4 linked regions of the Macaca fascicularis genome follow. The protein of the gene in region 2 binds, or shares a complex with, the protein of the main gene of each other region. Links are inferred from orthologs where the notes say so. Each region holds a gene or a part of one and is shown on either strand. Other genes may lie near its edges. The genes, in order: AP3B1, ARF1, IQSEC2 and AP1B1.

The links.
Region 1: the proteins of ARF1 (region 2) and AP3B1 are in contact, whole or in part, in a cryo-EM structure (PDB 9C5B), measured with the Homo sapiens proteins. The link is inferred for Macaca fascicularis from reciprocal best matches to the Homo sapiens genes ARF1 and AP3B1. Residues at the interface, in NP_001019397.1 of Homo sapiens: Glu17, Arg19, Tyr35, Ile46, Pro47, Thr48, Ile49, Gly50, Phe51, Asn52, Val53, Glu54, Lys73, Ile74, Leu77, His80, Tyr81, Asn84; in NP_003655.3 of Homo sapiens: Glu52, Asn54, Pro81, Val84, Lys85, Val87, Ala88, Asp111, Leu112, Leu114, Leu115, Ile117, Ser118, Thr119, Gln121, Arg122.
Region 3: the proteins of ARF1 (region 2) and IQSEC2 are in contact, whole or in part, in a crystal structure (PDB 6FAE), measured with the Homo sapiens proteins. The link is inferred for Macaca fascicularis from reciprocal best matches to the Homo sapiens genes ARF1 and IQSEC2. Residues at the interface, in NP_001019397.1 of Homo sapiens: Arg19, Gly24, Leu25, Asp26, Ala27, Lys30, Thr31, Ile46, Pro47, Thr48, Ile49, Gly50, Phe51, Asn52, Val53, Glu54, Thr55, Thr64, Trp66, Asp67, Val68, Gly69, Gly70, Gln71, Lys73, Ile74, Pro76, Leu77, Trp78, His80; in NP_001104595.1 of Homo sapiens: Arg810, Gln811, Gln841, Arg845, Val846, Gln847, Gly848, Glu849, Ala850, Gln851, Val853, Glu854, Glu858, Asp879, Phe882, Ile883, Phe886, Ala887, Ile889, Leu890, Asn892, Thr893, Asp894, Tyr896, Ser897, Pro898, Ser899, Val900, Arg904, Met906.
Region 4: the proteins of ARF1 (region 2) and AP1B1 are in contact, whole or in part, in a cryo-EM structure (PDB 7R4H), measured with the Homo sapiens proteins. The link is inferred for Macaca fascicularis from reciprocal best matches to the Homo sapiens genes ARF1 and AP1B1. Residues at the interface, in NP_001019397.1 of Homo sapiens: Glu17, Met18, Tyr35, Ile46, Thr48, Ile49, Gly50, Phe51, Asn52, Val53, Glu54, Thr64, Trp66, Lys73, Leu77, Arg79, His80, Tyr81, Gln83, Asn84; in NP_001118.3 of Homo sapiens: Asn23, Asp25, Pro52, Asp53, Val55, Asn56, Met58, Gln59, Met83, Ile85, Met86, Ala87, Val88, Asn89, Thr90, Val92, Lys93, Tyr121.

Annotation. Positions count from the first base shown.
Region 1 is NC_088380.1:82,260,788-82,265,073, forward strand, and holds the start of AP3B1 (AP-3 complex subunit beta-1), read right to left. Parts: upstream 2,810-4,286; 5' UTR 2,691-2,809; coding exon 2,563-2,690; intron 1-2,562. UniProt on the Homo sapiens protein: Subunit of non-clathrin- and clathrin-associated adaptor protein complex 3 (AP-3) that plays a role in protein sorting in the late-Golgi/trans-Golgi network (TGN) and/or endosomes.
Region 2 is NC_088375.1:85,991,719-85,995,836, forward strand, and holds the start of ARF1 (ADP-ribosylation factor 1), read left to right. Parts: upstream 1-1,274; 5' UTR 1,275-2,022; coding exon 2,023-2,084; intron 2,085-4,118. UniProt on the Homo sapiens protein: Small GTPase involved in protein trafficking between different compartments. Modulates vesicle budding and uncoating within the Golgi complex. In its GTP-bound form, triggers the recruitment of coatomer proteins to the Golgi membrane.
Region 3 is NC_088395.1:53,223,585-53,227,142, reverse strand, and holds part of IQSEC2 (IQ motif and SEC7 domain-containing protein 2), read left to right. Parts: intron 1-752; coding exon 753-852; intron 853-1,741; coding exon 1,742-1,903; intron 1,904-3,547; coding exon 3,548-3,558. UniProt on the Homo sapiens protein: Is a guanine nucleotide exchange factor for the ARF GTP-binding proteins.
Region 4 is NC_088384.1:22,331,970-22,335,527, reverse strand, and holds part of AP1B1 (AP-1 complex subunit beta-1), read right to left. Parts: intron 3,046-3,558; coding exon 2,844-3,045; intron 1,949-2,843; coding exon 1,928-1,948; intron 1,313-1,927; coding exon 1,169-1,312; intron 1-1,168. UniProt on the Homo sapiens protein: Subunit of clathrin-associated adaptor protein complex 1 that plays a role in protein sorting in the late-Golgi/trans-Golgi network (TGN) and/or endosomes.

The sequences.
Region 1 (4,286 bases), on a different chromosome or scaffold from region 2:
TTTGTAAACTTGAAACTATTTCATCAGAGTAAACCATTAAAAACCAGAGCTGAGGAAACAGGGTGAGCTTCAAGTTTTTTACATAAATTATGTCATTCGATTTTTTTAAAAGGCAAGTAATATTACAGTTTTATAAATGAGAAAATGTGGACTCAAGAGAGATTTAATGACCATTTCCAGAACAGGGGTCTCCTTGTTTCTGTACAATTCCATTAGATTGCAGGTCAACAGCCAAATGTTTCTAATCCCTGGAAGCTTCTCTGGTGGTACTACTTAGAGCTATTTAAAGTTTTAAAGCTTTCGTGAGTTGTATGCGCTCACTAATAAAAATACCATACATTTCATCAAGTAGTAAGTAGACATCGAAACTTTTGAGAGAATGGGCTCTAATATTAGAGCCTCTGAGTTCAAATTCAGGCAGTTCAATGTTCTAGCTTTGCGGCCTTTCCCAAGTTAACGATCACGCTCCAATTTCCTCACGTGTAAAGTGGGAGCAGCTGGTAATAACCTGCAGGGTTGTTAAGAAAACTGAATGAGATAATAAATGTAAAGTGGTGCCACAAACACTCAATAAATATCTTTTGGGGAACACAATTCAACCATGGTTATTTGCATATATTACATACCACCTCTAATCAATTAGCTACTTTTATTTTAAATCCAACCTATTAGGTCACCTCAAGAGCACTGGTCACAGAGTCAATGGCCATAAGTTTTTTGGGTTTTTTTTTCCAAATCAGGTCAAAATTTGACAAAAATCTTTTTCCTTTTTTTTTTCTTTTTTTGAGACGGAGTCTCACTCTGTCACCCACTAAAGTTAGAGTGCTGTGGCGCGATCTCGGCTCACTGCAGCTTCCACCTCCCAGGTTCAAGCGATTCTCCTGCCTCAGCCTCCAGCTGGGATTACAAGCACGAGGCACCACGCCCGGCTAATTTTTGTATTTTTAGTAGAGACGCGGTTTCACCATGTTGGCCAGGCTGGTATCGAACTCCTGGCCTCAAGTGATCCGCCCGCCTTGGCCTCCCAAAGTGCTGAGATTACAGCCGAGAGCTGCCGTGCCTGGCCCCAAATCTGACAAAAATATAAGAGAAAAGCCGGAAAGAGGAGAGTAGCCGAAACAAGCAAAGTGATCGCGATGGGTTTAGGAAGGCGATCTGGCGTGCTAAATGGCGTTTCCGGAGAAATCCGAAAACTATTGCTTTACAGAAGTATACTAAAGAGCTGCCCTGGGTCTGGAAACCCCTTAAGGGATCAAAATGGATGCAATGGGTATCCTTCTCCAATGACACCCCTCACGGGGTGTTCACAAACCATAAAAGTAAATTAATTTGCAAAACAGATTGATGCCAATTTACAGGTTAATTCAGTCTAAACATTTTGCTAACAGTAAAGGCAACAAGCTCCGTACTTGCTCTAGAACAATGGATCACCAAATGCATATAATGAAAAATTATATGAAATGAAAATGAAAAGTTACCTTACTTTTAAACTTTTCTAACCTGGGAAAAAGGAAACGAAAATATTGTATCGTACATACTATCTATATGATTTTGATCCTCAATACAGCCAAAATGTAATCCCAATTTCAAGTAGTAGCACTTTCTAGACTACCCAATATTGTTAGTAACGTTTAATTTAAATTTTAATTATACCCTCTAACATATCTGCAAAGCTACCAGCACAGCTATTCTACCTTAATTTAGCGTGAATTTAGCGACAGACTATTATGTGACCATATTGCTTAGTAATGAAAGATTTAAAATAAGAGAAACGTAAAAATGATAATTGTGGTAAATTTAACCACTACCACCACCCCAATACCACCATCCCACCCCCCAAACAAACAACTTGGGATTTCTTTCCATTTCTCGGTGATACTTTTTACAAAACTAAGTGTATCTTAACATTCGTTTTTAAACTTCACATTATTAATTTGTAAAAGTTTAGGATTTGTTCATAGTAACACTCTTAAAATATTTTCTATTCATATGCTTATTTTGGATTGGTGTTTTTGTCTGTAGTGCAAAGGATATAATCCAAGAACACTGATACTGGTATAAACCAATTTGTCCATTCAAACAGCCTAAACCCACCTCTCTCCTCCTACACTCCGGGGTCACAAAATAACTTCCCACAAGCAACACTCGCACTCTCACCTTGACCAAAACACTCGTTTCACCCTAATCAGGGAATGTATCAAAGTCTGATCCGGCGAACGATAAATAAACTTAGAAGACTATGCTCAAAATTCAGATTCCTGAGCCCAGACCAAGTCCAATTCAATCAGTGTCTTCAGGGGTGGGATCTAAGCTCACCAAGCGGTTTCCTTTTCACTAAAGTTTGAAAACTACTAGAGACCCCTACACACACACGCCCCAAACTCCCCCAACTCCCACCACCGCCAACCAACCCCACCCACCCACCCGTGGGACACGTTACCGCCCAGCTCTGCTCAGATCTCAGGGCGACCCCGCTCCACTCCAGGGAGCCCACCCGGCGCCCACTCCTCCGAGTCCCCAGCTCCTCCCTCCCATCCCCGTACCCCAAACCTTTCTCCTCACTTCTTCAAATCGCTGCTAAAGAGGCCGAAGGCCCCCGAGGGGGAAATGGTTGAGGTCGCCTCCTGACCCAGCTCCGTCGCCTCCCCTCCTCCGGACTGCTCATTGTAAGAAAAACTGTTGCTGGACATTGCCGCGGTGCTGGCGGGTGCGGGGTTGGTCCTGCCGGGGGTTCTCTCCGAAAGGTTCCAGTCCAGAGGGCACCGAACAAAACTAGTTCGCGTACCGAGGAGCGCGCGCAGGCGCTTCCGGACTCGTCACCGCTCCCTGAGCCGACCTAGCAGTCCACCCCCTGCGCATGCGCAGTGTGCGGGAAGGCAGGATACCACCCGGGCCGTCCAGGCCTGCGCGGATTTCCCTGCTCCGGGCTTTAGAGGTAGCTGAGCGGCTGCGAGCCTGGCTGCGGAAAGGGAGGCAGCGGGTGGCGAACTGCCAGGCTCCCGGCCCGTGAGGGGTGTCATTGGAGAAGGATACCCATTGCATCCATTTTGATCCCTTAAGGGGTTTCCAGACCCAGGGCAGCTCTTTAGTATACTTTTGTAAAGCAATAGTTTTCGGATTTCTCCGGAAACGCCATTTAGCACGCCAGATCACCTTTCCTAAACCCATCGCGATCACTTTGCTTGTTTCGGCTACTCTCCTCTTTCCGGCTTTGCCTTACTTTCATATCCACCCGAAACAACTTTTCTCCCAGACTTTAAGGAGGCCTCTCCCAACGATGGTTTGGAGGATCCGCACAGAAGCGACCATTCCATCCTTGCAACGAAAATCTTGGAGGCAGACCGGCGCGGTGGCTCACGCCAGTAGGGCACTTCGGGAAGCCGAGGCGGGCGGATCACTTGAGGCCAAGAGTTCGAGACCAGCCTTGGCAAAATAGCGAGACCCTGTCTCTGCAAAAAATATAAAAATTAGCCGGCGTGGTGGCTCGCGCCTGTGGTCCCAGCTACTGAGCCTGAGGTGGGAGGTTCACTCAAACCCAGGAGGAGGGGGTAGCGATGAGTTGAGATCGCGCCTTTGCACTCCAGCCTGGGCGACAGAGCGAGACCCTGTCTCAAAAAAATTAAAAAGAACAGAAAACATCTTGGGACCACCAGTTCCAGTTTAGAGCTGAAGTGGTGCGTCCTACTGGCGTCTAGCTACCAAAAATAAAATGGACCACCTTGCGCGCCAGGCGCAGCTGTCATCTGACACTTCTGTGTCCTGTCGCCGTCGTGTCACTCACTAATATGCACTAGGGAGCCTAGGCGGGATGCTTGCCTGGCCCCGGAGTAGCTCTCTCCGGGTGCTGGCACCCGAGAAAACCTCTTTCCAGGAGTGACTTCCCCCAGCCCGCCTTCTCGGTTGGGTTTCAGAGCCTTCCCTCTCTTCTCCCCAGTGCCTCCCGTCCAGGTAGGCGTTAACTCCCAAAGCCTTGGCGGCCAGGTACTGAAACTGTCAAGGGATTCTACCAGGTAGAACGCGAACGTGGAGACCGGCAGCCTCTGGGAAGGCGGTGGGGCGTTTTCAAGGATCAAAGTATGATCTCCAAGTTTCAAAAGGTCAGACTGTCACTGTGGAAGCACGCACGAGCGTGGCTCTGGGTGGGAGAAGAAGGAATGTCCTCCAAACTTCATCGTCTGGTTAAATATTGGCAGGTTTTTAATTCGACTGTTAGAATACTGCTCCGGAGATCCAATGATGATCACCTAAAATGTGTTTGTCAATATTAATGATGTTAATTAATAACA
Region 2 (4,118 bases):
GCTCCACAGGCATCCACACCCCTCCCTGGGGCTTTCCAAGAGTATCTGAGATGCCTGTAGGGTGGGAGGGAGACATCCTTCCCCTAAACAGACAACCTGCCGCAGCTTCACAGAGGTGAGATTTCAGAGGGGAGCCCCAGGCAGAAAAAGGGACTGAATTTGGGGGCAGGAGGGTCACCACTTCTGGGGTCCTTCGAAGCCCCCGCAGGTGCAGCCCTGGGGGAGAACTCCGACTATCGCAGCCTGCAGTGGCAGTGAGGATGCCCTGCCCAAGGGGCAAGCAAGGTAGGTGATGGCGGCAGCAAAGGGGCGCAGGAGGCCTGGGCCAGGCCCAGTGACCCCACCCCTCAGGCCCTGCCCCCGGGCCTCCCCCTGGACAAATCAGGTTGATTCCCGACCTCCAGAATACCCAGAGAACTGTGCTGCACGGACGCTCTCCCACAAGCCCAATCCCTCACAGCTGCACAAGGGAAGAGGCAAGAAGACCTGAGGGTGGTGGGCAGAGCCAGGCCTCTGTTCCCTTCTGACCAATCCAGGAGGGCTTCCTGGGAGCGGGGTCTCCTCCGCCTCAACTGGATCTCAGCTGAAAGGCCAGCTCATTAGAGACCGCTGTGACCTCCCTTCTGGGCACCACCCCCACAGCCCCGGCCTCCCCCCGGGGTCCCCAGGCCACCTCCTCCTTTGCTTCATCTGTAGCCAACTCCCCGGCATGAGCCCAGGCATGAGCCCGCGCGAGTCACTGCGGCCGCCGGGGCGCCGAGGCCAGTGCGGGGACATAGCAGGCCTCCCTCCTTCGGACCTTCCGCCGAGGCCCCGCGAGTGCCACAGGTTTCCACAGGGCCGGGGCACACGGACCCGCGCAGCCTGGGAGCCAGGGACCCCAATCCCAGCGAAGGGGCGCCTCGCACCCCAGTCCTCACGCGGTCCCCGAGGGCTCGCGGTGACTGCCGGGTCGGGGAGGAGGAGGGTGGCAACCCGGCCCCGCCGCTCCAGTTGCTGCAGCAGCCCCCCGGGCCTCAGTCTCCGAATCTGCCAAACGGGCGTGTGGCAGCCACAAGGTGTCTTTTCGGAAGACTCACAGGCGCAGGCGCAGACGGGTGCGCACCCCTAAGGCGCGCGCGAGCTAGGACCTCGGCCCGGGGCTGGGTGTCCCCGGCCCCGCCCCCTGCAGCCCTTCTGGAGCCAGCGCGTCTGCGTCGCGGGCGCACGGGGGGCGGAGCTCCCGGCGTCTCCGCCTCTTACCCGACGTTCCCCGCGCCCGCAGGCGCTGACGTGGCCGCCGTCAGAGCCGCCATCTTGTGGGAGCGAAACCAACGCCTGGCTCGAAGCAGCAGCTTCTGAGGTGAGGGCGAGGGGCGCGGGTCGGTGTGGGCCGCACACAAGTTGGAGCCGGCGGGGTCTGGGGACTGGCCTCGGGGCGACTTGAGGTTCGCGAAGGGCACCTCGATCCCGGCGGCGGCGGCGGCGACAGGGCCGGGCCGGGGGCGGACGAGGACGGGCCGGGCTGAGGCTGGGGAGTCGGGGCTGGGAGGGCGGGCGGGTCGGTGAGCTCCTCGCGCCCCTCACAGGTTCCCGGAGTCGCCCGCGGCCCCTTGTCCTCCTCTGCCAGTCCCTGCCCCCGCCCGTCGCCCGGAAGTCAGCCGGGACGCCAGGCTCTTCTCCAGGAAACCTGGGCTTCCTGCTTCCCTTACCTCTGCCCCTCACGTTTCCCGAGGCCGCCCGCGCGTGGAGAGTTGGGGTTAGCGGTCTCGGGGGCCGGTGGGGGTTGTGGGGCCTCCTCCACCCGAGTACAGGCTAGCGAGCGGCATCCGGGCGGACCGCTGCCTCGGGGACCGGGAAACTGAGGCTCAGGCGGCCCCAAGACACCGTCAAGGTCACGTAGGTGGTGGGGGCTTGCACCTTCGCCTCCCGACTCCATCCAGTTCGTGTTTCCTCTGAGGAAGGCACTGGGTCAGGGGCGGTGAGAGCGAGCGGGCGGGCAGTGGACAGGGACCCTGCGCCTTTCCCTGTCTGCTGAACGGAATGCGTGGACCTCCGGGGAAGCCCAGAGTGCCTCCCTTCACAACAGTGAGACGCGATTTGGGGTCAGTATGAAGTCTCCGGTGGCTTCCAGAGGGCCGGTCGATGTTCGCTTTAACTCCAGGGTGGTTTCCTTGACGTTGTCGGCAGTAGATAAGAAGGCCTCTTTTGAGCTGGTGAATCTTTAACTTGCCTGCGGAACGACCTGCTCGTAGACTCTAGGCCGCAGAGGCCGGCCCCAGCGCTCTCTCGGGGCACAGCCTGGGTGGTTACGGCTTGTGAGATTGGGTCTGGACAGCCGTGCGCACCTAGAGTGTTAGATAACCATTCCGACGGCACCTCCTGGCGGACTCCCTTTCCGTCCAGGCAGCCAGTTGCTGCTTTGCAGGAATTGAGCAGAAATGCGCTCGGAATCGCGGGCAGAAAAAGAAGGGAGGTCGGAGTCTTTGGATGGTCCCCGAAGTCGCCGCCTAGTTTAGAGCTGTAGAGTTGGTGCCACTGCCCCTATTGGAGTGGGCAGTTGTATTTCTTGTTTCAGAACTAGTGGTCAGCAGTTTTCTCTGCCGCCGGTTGTTGCAAGGCTGGTGGTTCTGTCGTTTTCCGCAGTGTGTTGGGAGGAGTGTGAGATGCCGAGGTGCGGTTGTGTGCGGCCCCTGTGGCCCTCTGCTTTTGCGTTAGCCATTGTCTAACACGTGTGACTGCATGGATGATGTCCTCATTTAATTTGAATTTTCACCAGCACTACCAAGGTAGCCAGAACCATAAGGTCCTGAAATGCCGTACTATTAGCTGGGTCCAAAATTGAGAAGAATTGAGTAGTATAAATGTTAGTATACACATCTGATTGGCCACATTGTTAGAGGTGTGTTGTCCACGTTTTCACATGTTGGTAGACCGGAGAATATCTGTCACTTGTCTTTAGGTGTATCTTGTTGAAAATAAATCCAAATCATTGCAGCAGTAGGAATATGCTGTTGCCTGTCAGGCAGTTTTTCAGATTTGCTAGTTGAAAAAGATTTGAAACAGTTGGTTTGGACAACAGCTGAGTCACAGAATGACTGTGAGTGAAAAGCAAAAACTGGTTCTGTGCCCCTCACAGTTCTGATTTTGTACATCATGTAGTCTAGCTATGCGCTGTACCTCTTGCACAATATGGAGAGGACATTCAGACATCTTCACCTGCTCATCTGCCCCTACAGACTGGACAGGCTTGAAACCATAGCTTCGAAGATGCATTTGGCCTTTCATTTTTCACTTCAGTAAAATTTAATATGGACTGTCAGCTGCTGCAGTGATCATAGAAGTAGACCTAACTAAGAGAAAAAAACCTGTTGTGCAAGTTCACACGCAAAGTATATGACTGTGGTTTCAGAGAGTTGAAGCAGTTTTTTCTAGATTCTTCAAATTAAATGTCTCATTGGTGTATTTAAACCAGCTCTTACTCACAGGCCATGCTCACCAAGCTTTTGTACACACTTCTTCCTGAGCTGTGACCATTCTCTTGAGCAAGAGGCTGCAGCCAGCCTGGGCTGGCAGGCCCATACTGTCTCTCATAGGCATTCTGTCCTCTCCCCCTGACCTTTCACCTCGGTAAACTCAAGAGGGTGAAAGGAAGTAGAGTGCACTGTCAGAGGTAATTGGGAGAGAAACAGGAAAAGGCCTTGCAGTGGGGATCTTAAATTATGAGAACTTGTGTTTTCTGTGTTGTGCCTGCTCCTCATTGGTGTGGTTGGTTGGTAGGGGTATCCTGCCTGTAGCATCTGAAGTGGTCTTTTGGAAAAGGTTTAGCCCCTTCATGTTGGGATTCCAGGATTTGCCCTCATCCTCAGGTTCGTATTTTCCTGTGGTTGTTATAAACTCTTTAAGGCATAGTTGCACTTATCACCTTACAGCTGTGCAGGTGCCCAGCACCGTCTTGGAAGGTAGTTTCACATTCTCAGGTGGGTCAGATGACCTTGTTAGCAACTTGACAGACATGTCCTGGATGTTTTTTGTTCCCAAGAGGCTCTCAGGTCCTCCCCCAGGGTCCTGTCACTCAACCATCTACAGGGATGAGAAGACAGTAAGGCTGGCTGATTAGCCATAATGTCCTTGACTAA
Region 3 (3,558 bases), on a different chromosome or scaffold from region 2:
CCTCAGGTACTGAAACTGGTGTGCGTCCAGCTGTATGCCAGGCACTGGGTATGCCAGGATGAATCAGAATTAGTCCCTGTTCTCAGGGAGCTCACAGCCCAAAGGACCTAAAAAAGTGCTTTGCGTCATCATGCCATCCTGAAATCAAAACATTTCCTTTTATGAGCCACTTGCAGACCGCCTGAGGTGTTTGCAACCTGTGTTAGTTGAGTCCAGAGTGCCCAAGTACTCGACAAAGACGTTGGGTTGTTGAGAGGAAGACTTGTTAACTCTCTACATGGGTTCAGCAGAGATTGCCATTAAGTGCAGGCTCTGGTGAGGCCCGCTGACAGAACCCGACAACCAGACTCCTGCCTTCCAGTCCAGCAGGGGGTGATCACACACTCAGAGGACTAGCATAGCGCCTGACAAGGGAAAGGTACTGAATCATCATTCTGGAGCTCAGAAAAGGGGTTTACAAATCTCTGTGGGATGTTGGAGCAGGCTTCCTGGAGGGAGCAGGATTCAGTTAGTTCCTGGAAATGTGGTAAATGTCTGTGGTGCGTGGTCATTACATCAGGAACTTGCGTTTTCTTCCATGTCTCCCATTCTGTCCCTCAAGCTTCCATTCTCCCCAGCTTGTGGGCATGTGTATTTGTGTGTGTATGTCTGTTAATGGGGTGGGAGGGGAGGGTGGTTACCAGAAATAGGTGCCACGTGGAAATTCCCCACCCAAAACGCTGCCTCTTGTCTTTTTCCCACCCCTGCCAAAGGTCACCAAAATTTTCCAGAAGAAGAAGATCTTGGTGACGTACAGTTTCCGTCAGTCTTTCCCCCTCGTGGAAATGCACATGCAGCTCTTCCAGAATTCATGTGAGTCCCTTCTTGGATCCCAGCTCCCAAGAGTCTATGTCATGGCCCCCATGCTCACCCGTCATCTCTACCAGCTCCAGTTTTTGGAGTCCCTTACAACCAGGCTAAGGGTCTCCGAAGCACCTACTTGGTCCCAGGATGAGGGGCAGGCCAGGGTGGAGTATGACTCGGGTCTAGCCCCTGGTTAGCTCATAGTCTTGCAGAGAACCCCAGTGCATGTGTTCTCTGGTGGGCCAAAGAGATGGTGATCACGCTGTGCTCTGAAGGATGAACCAGGAGGAGCTTTGTTTCATGGTACTCTGGGCAGCAGTAGCAATGTGAGTTGAGGTAGAGGTGAGAAGGAAAGAGTTTCAAGACAGCAGTGCAGAGTTGTATGCCTTTACATGCTGCAGTACAGGAAGTAAGGGGGCCACAGCTACCAGGAGTTTGAGGGCTTTGGGGCACAGGGGAGCTGCTAAATATGCTCAAATGGAGAAGAGGCATGATCAGAGTTAGACAGCAGAAAAATTATTTCATGGGCTAGGTATGGCGGCTCACACCTGTAATCCCAGCACTTTGGGAGGCCAAGGCAGGAGGATTGCTTGAGCCCAGGAATTCGAGACCAACCTGGGCAATATAGTAAGACCCCATCTCTGCTGAAAATAAAAAAATTATCTGCACATATGGTGCGTGCCCATGGTCCCAGCTACTCAGGAGGCTTGAGGCAGAAGGATCACTTGAGCCCAGGAGTTCAAGGCCGCAGTGAGCCATAATGACACCAGTGTACTCCAGCCTGGGTGACAGAGAGATGTTATCTCAGGAAAAAAAGTACAGAAAAGAAAAATTATTTTAGGTATGAGCCACCTCCACCAATCCCAACAGAGGTGCCCAGTCTCCCCTTTCTCCACAGATTACCAGTTTGGGATCAAGTTGCTGTCTGCAGTACCTGGTGGGGAGCGAAAAGTCCTCATCATCTTCAATGCCCCCAGCCTCCAGGACCGGCTGCGCTTTACGTCCGACCTGCGCGAATCCATTGCGGAGGTGCAGGAGATGGAGAAATACCGTGTGGAGTGTGAGTAGCCCAGCCACGTCTCCTCCCCCATCTCCTGAAACAGTACCCTGCAGAAACCAAGAATCCTATCCTCTGAGAATCTCAGAGTTGAGGGTTAGCTTGTCCAACCTTCCCATGCTCATTTCAAGAATTCTTCAGCCTCTGCTTGAATACCTTCAGTGACAAGGGGCTCATCACCTCCCAGCCCCATTATTATCCCAAACTCTAATTATGAGCCAACTATTCCTTCTAGTGAAAGGTATCAGGGAGAAGAATCAGAGTATTAGAGGTAGGACTGTAGTTTTAGGTCCCAGGTATGCTATTCGTTATCTGGGTGAACTGGAGCTAATTGCCTAACCCGCCTAGCCCCAGTTTCTTCCTACACGAATTTGGGGTAATGAAGTCTCCTTCACGGAGTCAAGGAGATGAAATGAGACAAGGTAGCCGAAATGTCCCAACACATCTTAGGCATTCAAAAAGTCTGTATTCCCTGTCCCACTCTCTCTCCTCGTCTGCCCACATATCAATTCCTGAGCTGAGTCCCAGTGGCCTATCCTCTCCAGGGGCCACACCAAGTCATTTTGATCATATATATATAATGGAAAATAGTGATTACATCTCATTCCTCCCGATGCCCTCCAAGTTTTCTCTTCTCCAGGCTAAGCAGTCACAGTTAAGTAACATGGTGTTAAGGAGAAAGAGGCAGGCAGACAGAAAAAGAGAGACGAGGCGGCGGACAGCTCCTTGGTGAGGCCTTCACAGCTCCAGGGCCACTCTACTCCTCAGCGAGGCAGGGATAGAAGTTTCAGTTCACCAGATCCTTTGAGACCCTGGGAAAATCCCGAGAGAGGGATTAGCAGCCCAAGACGAGGGGAGGCCAGTAGACACATGTTTCTGTGAGCTCTGTGGGGAGGTGGGGCTGTAAGGAGGCCGGAAGCACCCAAGCTCTGGAATCAGGCAGACCTGCTTCCAGAATGTCGGCTCCGCCATTTCCAGCTGTATGACCCTGGGCAAGCTCTAAGACTTCTCGGATTCTCAGTTTCCTCCTCTGCACAATGTGGATGCTAATACTGACCTCAGAACTGTTGTGAGGATTGAGAGAGATCAAGTATGTGTAGCACCCAGCATACTGCCTGGCACTTAATAGAGGATTTGATTCCTGTCAGTTTCCTGCTCCTGCCCTTCCAGGAGCCCCTCTGCTCTGGAGCAAGGTATCTGAGAACTGACTGAACTCTGGAAAGATTGCCCTTTGCCATAGGCTAGAAGGGCCTTCCCGTCCTTACTGTGAACCATCTGCCATGAAGCTCTTTTTTGAAGGGCAGGGGTGCTTTGAGAGACCTGACTGCAAGAGGGCATGGGAGGGGAGAAGTCATAAGAGTGAAGGGAAGGGAAATGGAACAGGGAGAGCAGGCACCAAGAGGGATGAAGGGAAGGCTGAGCAGGAAGGGAGGGTGCAAGACGGGAGCTGGGCACTAAGGGTACTTCGGTGATGGAGCTGCAGTTTTGGGGGAGACAAGGGCTGGTCGTCCAAGGGGCAAAACAGGAAGCCTGGGGACAGAGGGAGGGAGGAGGGAGGAGGAAGGAGGACGGAGGGCTAGGGTCAGTCAGATGGGCTCTCACTCCTGTTCCTGACCTTTGCTCCCTGTCTCCCCGACTGCCACCCAGCGGAGCTGGAG
Region 4 (3,558 bases), on a different chromosome or scaffold from region 2:
ATGGTCCAGCTGCCGCAGCACTCCTCCTCCCTGCTGCAGAATCCCCTGGGGCCGGTGCTTCTGCCCCACCCCTTCCCTGCACACGCAGCCATCTTTCTCAAGTGCAAATCAGACTGGTTCATACCTTTGCTTAAACCTTTCCAAAGCCTCCGGCTGTGCCAGGATCAACAAGAAACGCTCAGCCTGGCCCACCAGCCTCGCCAGCTTCTTCCTTTGCTGATCCCTAGTCTAGCCAGGAGTCTTGGGGGTGTGCCCTAGGTGGCACAGTGGGCATCTTCAGGTGGCATAACATAGTGGGCTGGAGTCAGGGATGCTGGACGTCCTACCATGGGGACAACCACCCCACAACAAGCAACTGTCCTGCATCCTTCCAGTATTTGCTGCATGGTTTCAACATATCCTGAGACTTCCAGGAACACAATTCTCAGGAAAATCAAGGGAAGACTGTTGTTTATCTTACTCCGAACCTTAGTGGGAGTCAGCGACCACTTCAGAAACAAATGGCACCACTGGCCAAACCACTCATGGGGTCCAGGCTACAAACACCCAGACTGTGGTTGCCACAGTCACAGTGACTTTGCCCTGCAGCAAACACCTGGCAACTTCATATCTTCCGGGGTGAGTGGGCAGGCATGCCCAGACGCTTATAACATTGATACATACACTTGTATTCTCTTCCTTTTATGTCTCCTCCATGCAGTGAAAGCATCTGAGTATTTTTGGAATGCTGTGTGTAGGTAGGTTACACAGCCCACCAATTGCATTTAAGGAGAGGAACAGTGACAATGTAAAATGTCGATGATGACTAAGGGGTGCTGGGTCTGATGGCACTGAGAACTACTGCTCCCACCTGACAGGCCTCTGCTGATTCCCTGACAGAGGCCAGGGTCTCCCTTCCCTCCAGGCCTTACCACAGGCTGTTCCCTTGGTCTGGAGCCCCTACCCGCTTCTGTTCAGCTAATGAGGTCCTGTGACTCCTCCGGAAAGCCTGCCTAGGCATCCACCAAGCCTGACTTAGCTCCTTTTCCTCGGTGCCCCCGTGGCCCCCAGCTTCCCTCATCAGCGCTGGCCTGAGCCAATTCCACAGCCGAGGCCATTTAAAGGAGCCCACATGCCAATCTCTATAACTTCTCTCTGCTCCTGCCAAGAGAGAAGACAAGTGACTTACTGCTTTGGGGGCTACATATGATCCTGACAGGGTGCCCACGCCACTGGTTAGGTCAAAGAGGTCACTCAGGCCACTGCCGATGGGTGCTCCAAGACTGGCTGGTACTGCTGCTGTTGGAGGTGCCACGAAATTGGTGCCCCCAATCTGGAAAGGGAGGGAAAGAGTCAGAGGCAGGCATCAAGAGGCAAGGACATCAAGGGCTGGGAATGAGTAGAGCCACCTGGCTCTTTAGAATACACTGGGGGTGGGGGGGCAGGACAGCCTCCATATCAACTCGAAATTACAGAAACAAGACAGAGAGAGGTGGGTGGAGTAGAGAGGCTGAGCCCTCCCGTGCCCTGTAAGCCTTGAGCCTTAGAAGTAACCTCTGGGAAAGGGCTGGGGACACTCCCAAATTGACACTCAGCCCATGGATAAAAGGAGGTCCCAAGACACACGGCTGGGTGGAGACCTGCTATGCAGACGGGTGCTCTCCCTCCAGGACATTAGAGAGGGGTTGTGGGACTGAGGGCTGGCAATCCCTGGGATGACAAGGTGACGCGTCATGGGGTGGTGAGGACTGGGCAAGAATCCATGGCTATGGGGCCTAGTGGTAGCCGAATGCCAGCTGGTCAAGACAGAGACTGCCAGGACGCGGGACCAAGGCAGGGGCTCAGCCGGCGGGGGCTGCTTTGACATCACCCGCCCCTTGGGATGCTGGGCCAGCGCTTTCGGGAGGAGCAAGGATGAAGGCTGGGTGACGCAAGGGTTGAACCATACCCCTTCAGGCTCATCCCCCATCTCCAAGCAGAAGCAGGCAGGTGAAGAGAACAGGCAGCCACATGCAGAGAGAAAAAGCCAGGAAGGAAGACAGAGGAACAAGAGAGAGAAGGGAAAGAGGGAGGAGATTAGTTAACAGTAGCTCCATCCGAGAGGAGAGTGGTGTGAGGCTGTGTTGGGGCCTATGAGAGGCCCAGACCCCGTCTCTATGAAAGGCACTACCCCACACATTTACCCCAGCACCCGTTCTGCACCACAGCCCTTCCTGCCTCACCCTAGCAGCGCTAATTGCCAGTCTCCTGCCCCCATGCTGCCACCGTGCGGACCTGAGTCGAGCACAGTCAAATGAAGAGGCTCAGCCACCCCCAGCACCTGGCCCTGCCAGTTGCCTGAGGAAGCCCCAGGGAGATACCCACGTTAGTCTCACCACTCCCCTCCCTACTGTCTTCCCATTCCCCTCTCTCCCCGGCCTCCCATGCCCTCTCAAATAGGCCTGGCTGGGCTTCTGTTCCCAGCTGGGGCAGCATGAAGCTAAGTGGACACAAGTCTGATTCCTCAAAGCTAGGAACACCCTAGCCTAACAGGGCAAAGGTGACTATGATGCCAGGATCAGGGCAAGGGCTAGGATGGGCCTCCCTGCCCAGGATCTCCTGGGACTCGAAGGTCCAACAAGGGAGTGGAATCCTGTCTGCCACTCAGGGGCTGTGCGACCTTGGAGGGAAGGCTGCCTGGCCTCTCTAAACCTTGGTTTTCTCATCATAAGTAGGGAGCTACACAATCACCTCCGAGGGTAAATGGTAAGAGCTCAATATAATGTACCTGAGGCACTCAGCTGGTGCCTGGCATGGAGGGGCGTTCAGTGACTGCTCCTCTGAGGATCATTATCAACATCATCCAGAGGACACCCATGACATACCAGGCTGTCAAGGCCACCGCCAAGAAGGTCCACAGCTCCCATCTGCACTGAGGAGGTGGTCAGGGGTGGGCCGCTCACTGGGGGGCCGAGGTCCAGGTTGAGGAGGTCACCCAGCAGGTCGCCCTGGGCGGGGATGACATCTGGCTGCTCCCCAGGAGGTGCTCCGGCAGGGGCTGTCTCAGGGCTCTCTGCGCTCTCACTCCTGCCGGGACACAGAAGAGAGAGAAGGTCAGTAGGGCGGAGGCATCAGGATGTCTCAGGAAGGTCAAAGAGACCCCAGCCTCCAGGCGCCTCCCTCAGGACAGGCACTGAGTCTCCTCCCTGTCCCCAACAGCGCTGTCCACACGGCCCCACTGCTTCCCCATTCCCACAGCAGGTCCATCTTTCAGGCCCTCTCTGAGGATGAGTGAAGGGAGAGGGCCGCCTGCTTCTAGCCCTCAGCCCATGCCAAGGAGAAAACTGGAAGCCAGTGCCCTAGGATGGTGCCACCAGGTCACACCAACCACCTGGGAAAAGCAGAGGAGGAGGCACGGACAGGGCTCTGGAATGAGACAGAACCGGTCTGAGTCCCAGCTCTGCTAGTTGTGAGATCCTGGACCAGTCCCTCAAGCTCTCCTTGTCTCTTGTTCCCACCTGAAGAATGGGGACATTTGCTCTCAGAGCTGTTGTTAGGATGGAATGAGGTCATCTAGCAAATACCTCATGTACAATAAAT